2 linked regions of the Arabidopsis thaliana genome follow. The protein of the gene in region 1 interacts with the protein of each later gene in a pairwise test. Each region holds a gene or a part of one and is shown on either strand. Other genes may lie near its edges.

Region 1 (3,223 bases):
AATAACAATAGGCAGAGTTAGATCCAAATGTTAGCTACATGATGCAATAGTACGCGTGCGGTGGTGTGTTTACGCGTGATCCTATAATCTCGAGGTCTCAGCTTTTCCAATTTAAAATTCTATATAAGTTTTGGCTTGTGACTTGTTGCTCGGGCTTTCATCCGTACAAATGTGTTTACTTCATCTTACCTGATGATATTTGGGCTCATTTTTGGGCTTACCAGGATTACTGATAGCATCTGGACCAGATTTTTTCTTTCTTTCTTAATTTCTAGTTAGAACCCATAAGGAAATATTTGTGTGTTACAAGCTAACATGTGGTGTTGCACAAGATTTTGTTGGTGCATATTGTGCATCAAATGGAGATTCTAGTTAAAACTCACTAGAAAAATTGAATGAAAACTGCTAAAAAAAACGAAAAAAAAAAAAAAATTACAATCTAAGCTAAGGAAAAAGGACTACAAGAGTGGTTTTGGGGTTGGATTAAGTTTTTTATTTGTTTTCGATTCTCTGGGTATGGTAAGCCCTTTGAATAAGATGATAAGTGTGAGTTATATCATGCTGGTGAAAGTATATTATAATCTATGTATGTACCAACTAGTAGTTGCTAATAGGTCTTTAACGGATCGATGAGGACAAAGAGGCTGACTTTGTAAGTCTTGTGACTCTTGTTATTTCACAAAACTATTTTGGTTTAACAACATTGATACAAAACAAAAACAAAAAAACTATTTTGGTTTAGTAATGGAAAGTTTAATATGTACAAAAAGGCTTTTGACTTTTGATAAACAATAAGTGTTTTACAAGTTGTGTTCGATTTCTCATCGGACATGGAGTATTATAGTTAATTAAGCGGACAAAAAAACAAATATATTTTGTATACTTGTAGTTAGGAAACTGTGTTAAATAGCCCGAGCTACTTGTTAGTTGTTGCAATCATTGAACGTATCGATGATTGTTAGCCGAAACTCGTACATCTTTTTTTCTCGAAGAAAAGAAGTTTCATACATTTTTTCATTACAGAACATTTATCTTCTTTTCAAGCAAAAATTCAGAGTAGGAGGATATTGATATTCACATACAAGAAGCTCAATTAGCCGATTCTGTCTAAAAATAGGTACGTAAGATTTTAAATTGCCCAATTGCAAAAGAAATATCGTCTGTTGTTTATTTATTTCAACAGGGTGAATTAATGTATATATACAAGAAAACAATGTCCATGATATAATTTATAATACCCAGCAATTTGGGGATAACAAATAGATTAATGGTTTCAGCTGCCTGTAAGTAGGTTTAATTATTTATTTTATACTTTTAAAAGCCGATAGTTTTGAACATTTTCATAAATTTCTTATTACGTAAAAGGAGAGAAGTAAATCCATTTCAACCATCTGCAGCCAACCTTGCATGGTCACAGCCAGTAATATTCAAAGATGACCAAATATGAAGACATCTCCACCAAAATAATATTGCAATTTATTTCTGAAATAACTAAAATCGCTTGAACTATATTTTAAATTTTTGAAGAAGTGGAAAAGTTGCAAAGGGGAATGCTTGCAATTTCATATAAAAAAAGAGCAATTCAAGATTTTCGGCCCTTGAGTTTTTGATGTGTTAGAAATTAATAATCAACAGGATATACCTGAGGCATGTTATAATACTATTCAACGACAACGGCCGTTTTACTATAAAACTGTAATCGTAAATAAATAAAGTCAACGGTCAGAATCGTTGGCTGCAATAAAATACGATTTATTTAGTTTTAACCATACTTACACGCAAATGTAATTCTACATATATACGTATTATATCAACAAGAACTCTGTTTATTTTCAAAGCTTTCTTGATCTTTCATTCTCCATTCTCTTGATATATTCACCTACCATGATTCCAACAAGATGCAATGAGATCAACGGCTCACGTCCTTCGTCGCTAAAACTCGCCGGAGAATCCCACACCATCAAGAAAACGTCGTCTTGCAAGTCGAAGCCACGACCACATGGACGGGCATCTCCGGTTATCATCTACGCGCATTCTCCAAAAGTGATCCACACGCGTGCCGAAGACTTCATGGCCCTGGTTCAAAGGCTGACGGGTCTAGACGAGATTATTAGACGGAACACTAGTGAATCTTCCTCTTCTGTTGTGACGGAAGAGGTTAACGTCGGGGATGATAACACGGCGGCTCCGTTTAGTCAGGATAGAACACAACGACAGAAGTTAACTGATATGCCGTTGTTCACACCGAGCTCGATGACCTTGTTTGGTTCTCCAACTCAACTTATGTATATGTCACCGAACCGGACCGATTCATTTCGACCCTTGGTTTTTAAGTCCGAATAAGACTTCTTAGCAAAAAAAAAAAAAAGTTCCAATAAGACTTCCCATAAAATATGCTTTTATGATTTCTATTTTATATGTATACAATTGGTTTGTTCATTCGTTCGTTCATAAGTTGTTTCACTGTGATTAGTTGGTGTAAATGTCACTTAACTTTACAAACTAAAAACAATGTCACTTAATATCTGTATTTGGTTGTTTTAAACATGAAAGTTAAGGGTTTACCTGTTCTTTTTACATAAATTATTCCATAAATCTCAGCGACAACGTGTGGGCTTCAACAAAATATTTGAAGACCAGAAATGCATTATTGGGCTTCGCATTAAAATGAGCTTCAAGCTCATCTTAGAAAGTTTTTCTAATGACGGTCTATGTGCCATCTTAACAATTCTTTGAGGAAGTTTTATAACTAGAAAAAATGTAAAACTGAAGGTGGAGATGAGTATTAGTTATTTTTATTGATTTCTAGTAGCCTCCCCAAAGTAAAACAGTAGTAGAAATTTTGGAAACATTAAAACCAAGTAGAAAAAACTGGAAACTAATGGCATACAATTAAATAAATTGTGTTTTATTTTGTTAAGTGTAGCATGTTCACCTCAACAAATTGATAGTTCATCTGAAACTGAGACCATCAGGAGAGGCTAAAAAAAGAGTCCTTTTCTTGATATAATTTTGTTATAGACCTTTAGGGCCCTCTTCCTGAGCCCAAATAACTTATTAAAACATATTTATCTCTATATTTGTCATATATAGATCCTAGGCCCGTTATCAACATGCCATGTTGACAAAAAAAAAAAAAAAAAATCATTCATGCCACTATGTTTTTTCCCCCCACTATGTAATCATGATATTGATTTCCTCATCTACTTACAATTCTTGTATT
Region 2 (4,472 bases), on another chromosome or scaffold:
TATATACAATGTAAATTATTTGTGCAATAACAATCAGTCATGTCTAATAATAATATTATCATAAACGATCAAATATTTATGACGAACAAATGAAAAATAAAAATTTGTAAATCATCGTTTTGTCATGATCATATCTACATGCTACATGCATCAATTTTAGATGAGAATTTAATGGGATTGAAGCCTAAACTATTTTGTTTGGTTTCCAAAGACATATATTTTTTATAATCACTTATCGTTAGTTTATTAATTCTTTTATAAAAGAAAAATTATTTTCATATTTATGTTTATTTTCATATTCATATTTATTGTTTATATTTAGACATTATGAGAATATATAAAATTATTTAGTACATTTTGAAAGAAAGTGACCACAAGAATAAGTAAATTAAAAAGTTGGTGAACCCCATTCCATTTGAACTTTCAGTTTATTGTATAGTATATTTTAACTCCACGACTTGTTGACCGAAACATAAACTAAAAATCTACGACATGAACGGAAAGAATAAAATGTGGATACAATTCTACAATTTAGTCTTTCACAAAAAATCAGAAATATTGCAAACATTAACGAAAATTCATAAACAAGATAGGTAACCCAACTGGCTTGAGTTTCTTCTATATATAAACAAAAACAAATAAGCTATACTGCTAGTTCGTTTAACAAACTAGCGAAACCAAGTTTATCTGCCAAAATGATAGAAATTGGTTTTTTCTGTGGTTGGAATATTATTGAAAAAAGTATTTCTATTAATTGATTATTGTAACTTAATCACTTATATACTAAATATAGTTTGCAAATTAGATTTTTTGCTCATGTTTTTCTAACAACTAGCTTTAATTAGTACTAATTACATTAGCTATAGTAAAACCACTATAGACTATGCTGGTTGTGATATAATAGGTATATATGGTAGAACATCAATTTGCCAGTTTAATATTCAGCTCCTGTTGTGAATAGTTGGAGGAAGGCTCATGCATGGTATTATTGATGGACATGCACTGATTAGACTATATGAAAGATATAGCTTACCATATACATAAGAAGACTAAACACAAATAAATGGTATTTCATATCTTATAGGTGTCTGTTTAGAGAAAAGAAAGTATAATGTATATTTCTAAGGGTTTTGTGTAAAAATATCTTCAAAATCATCTATTTTTGTAACTTCAACATTTACGTCATTGGGCACAGCACTGTCTACTTTTACCAAAAAAATAAAAATAAAAAATAATTTGAAAACGTTTATAAAGTTGAAGGTTGTTTTGCACAAAACTCTATTTCTAAAAATAGTTAAACTGTTGGTGATTTTTGTGGAACTGATTAATTAACACAATTGGAGAAAACAAATTGAAACTTTTTTGTTTGTTAGAGAGTTAAGGAGAAATTTTATCTAACCAAGCTGTGTAAATCTCTTGTAGTTTTTCTGCCGATATACATTTTCATTGTGTTGAGGGTAAACGATAATCAAGAACGAGAGAGAGAGAGAGCAAGAGCAAGAGATTTCTACTACAGAAGATTTATTATATTGATCATTTTGTGTGATCAACCCATAAAAACAGAGAGACATAGACAAGTCCATGTTTCGATGTTTCGATCTCTCTTACTGTCTAAACGGCGAAATAAAAAGTCTGATGGGTGTCACTTATTGCATGTATATTAGTAAATCAGGTATTAAGCACTCTTTTATCTTCATTGTTATAAGGTATTAATCACTCTTGTATCTCCATCAAAAGACTTATTGCATATAAAAAAAACTGCTCTGTTTCCATTTTAATTACAATAATTTTTTAAGATTTTAGTTCCATGTTAACTGCTCTGTGTCATATATGTAACACCTAATCACGTTTCAGCTTGAGCCCAAGTTAAAGCTGAAACTTGGGTTTGCAATGGCTGGTATTGATAATAAAGCTGCTGTAATGGGAGAATGGTTCGACTGTAGTACTACTAACCACAGGAAGAGATCGAAAGCGGAACTTGGTAGAGAGTTTTCTTTAAATTACATCAAGAATGAGGATTCTTTGCAAACCACCTTTCAAGAAAGTTCACGAGGAGCTCTTCGTGAAAGGATTGCTGCGAGATCCGGGTTTAATGCACCGTGGTTAAACACTGAGGATATTCTTCAGTCGAAATCTTTAACCATCTCTTCTCCTGGTCTTAGTCCTGCAACTCTGTTAGAGTCTCCTGTTTTCCTCTCAAACCCTTTGGTAACTTTTTCTTTTCAACATTTCATTATGGTCTCTCTCTTTCGTGAATCAGTGCTCTAAAATCTCTTATCATTTGTAAGCTCAGCTATCTCCAACAACCGGGAAGCTCTCATCAGTACCTTCTGATAAGGCTAAAGCTGAGTTATTTGACGACATTACCACATCCTTAGCCTTCCAAACCATTTCAGGAAGTGGCCTTGATCCTACTAACATCGCTTTAGAACCCGATGATTCCCAAGACTATGAAGAAAGACAGCTCGGCGGTTTAGGAGACTCGATGGCTTGTTGTGCACCTGCAGATGATGGATACAACTGGAGAAAATATGGACAAAAGCTAGTTAAAGGAAGTGAGTATCCGCGGAGCTATTACAAGTGCACGCACCCGAATTGTGAGGCCAAGAAGAAGGTTGAACGGTCTCGGGAAGGTCATATTATAGAGATCATATACACAGGAGATCATATACACAGCAAACCTCCACCTAACCGCCGGTCAGGGATTGGATCATCCGGTACTGGCCAAGACATGCAAATAGATGCAACCGAATACGAAGGTTTTGCTGGAACCAATGAGAACATAGAATGGACATCACCTGTATCTGCAGAGCTCGAATACGGAAGCCATTCAGGATCAATGCAGGTTCAAAACGGGACTCATCAGTTCGGGTATGGTGATGCAGCAGCTGATGCCTTATATAGAGATGAAAACGAAGATGATCGCACGTCCCACATGAGTGTTTCCCTGACTTACGATGGAGAGGTAGAAGAGTCCGAATCAAAGAGAAGGTATAAAAAGTTGCTCTAGTAACCATTATAATACTTAGAAAGACAAGACGTTCTGACTTCTGAGCTCTGATGGCATTCCCGTATCAGGAAACTAGAAGCTTATGCAACAGAAACGAGTGGATCAACCAGAGCCAGCCGTGAGCCAAGAGTTGTGGTGCAGACCACAAGTGACATTGACATCCTCGATGATGGTTATCGCTGGCGCAAGTATGGGCAAAAAGTCGTTAAAGGAAACCCGAATCCAAGGTTCTTGTATCCAAATGCTCTGTTCTGCTGCTATCCCTTTGTTGAATTTAATAAAATCAGTTTTCTATGTTTTCAGGAGCTACTATAAATGCACAGCTAATGGATGTACCGTAACGAAGCATGTAGAGAGAGCCTCTGATGACTTCAAGAGCGTACTAACAACTTATATAGGCAAGCACACCCACGTTGTACCAGCAGCACGCAACAGCAGCCACGTCGGTGCAGGCAGTTCAGGGACTCTCCAAGGCAGTTTAGCGACTCAGACCCACAACCACAATGTGCACTATCCAATGCCACACAGTAGATCTGAGGGACTGGCCACAGCCAACTCATCTCTATTTGACTTCCAGTCACACCTGAGGCATCCTACAGGTTTCTCCGTTTACATAGGCCAATCTGAGCTTTCTGATCTTTCAATGCCTGGTCTAACTATTGGGCAAGAGAAGCTTACCAGCCTGCAGGCGCCTGACATTGGGGATCCAACTGGCCTAATGTTGCAGTTAGCAGCACAGCCGAAGGTGGAACCAGTGTCACCACAACAGGGACTTGATTTGTCAGCGAGCTCATTGATATGCAGAGAGATGTTGAGTAGATTACGACAGATATGAAACAAATCTCTTTGTTCACTGATTGCTCAAATTTTTGAATAAATGAAAAATTGAGAGAAGGTAAAAGCTGTTTTGTTTTTACAGTCTTGTCGCAAAATTTAGTTAGGCCTAAACTTAGCTTCTGTCTAGACAAAGCTTAAACAGAAGAAAAGCTTCCTAGCTGTTTGTTTGGTTCCGAAAAGTGAAATGCCTTAAAAGAGTTCTAAATTTTCACTTAGGGACCAGACCACCAAAAGAAAGAAAAGGTTTTTTTACATTGAAACTAATCTTTACATGAACGCAGTCCTACCACCTCTTCGGCTGTGTTTGTCGTATGCAGTGTTGAATTTGTCAACCACCTCGTTCATGTTGCTGCATTTTGGGGGGAAAAAGGAGAGTAAGAGATCAAATATACAAAGGATTCTTTCAGGACATTTCGTTGGAATGAAATTGACATATGGATTGGTCAAGGTGTAGCACAAGATTAGATTTTTTTTTTAAAAAGAAGCTTATATTCCCTTAGCTACTACAGGCTCAGTATCTTAATTATAACAAGGATAATTGAGCAAGGTCCTAGATTTAGTTCTTAATCTAAATAAAACAAACTATCTCAATGTCAGCCTCAACCAAGTACTGGTGATTTCATCT

The links.
Region 2: the proteins of PDE337 (region 1) and WRKY34 interact in a two-hybrid assay, tested with the Arabidopsis thaliana proteins (one large-scale study listed by BioGRID).

What each region holds. Positions count from the first base shown.
Region 1 is NC_003070.9:25,660,841-25,664,063, reverse strand, and holds PDE337 (VQ motif-containing protein), read left to right. Parts: upstream 1-1,787; 5' UTR 1,788-1,884; coding exon 1,885-2,343; 3' UTR 2,344-2,577; downstream 2,578-3,223.
Region 2 is NC_003075.7:13,356,969-13,361,440, reverse strand, and holds WRKY34 (WRKY DNA-binding protein 34), read left to right. Parts: upstream 1-1,889; 5' UTR 1,890-1,890; coding exon 1,891-2,208; intron 2,209-2,293; coding exon 2,294-2,991; intron 2,992-3,078; coding exon 3,079-3,237; intron 3,238-3,313; coding exon 3,314-3,845; downstream 3,846-4,472. Other genes in the region: CSN6B (COP9 signalosome subunit 6B), read right to left, coding at 4,115-4,196. UniProt on the Arabidopsis thaliana protein: Transcription factor. Interacts specifically with the W box (5'-(T)TGAC[CT]-3'), a frequently occurring elicitor-responsive cis-acting element.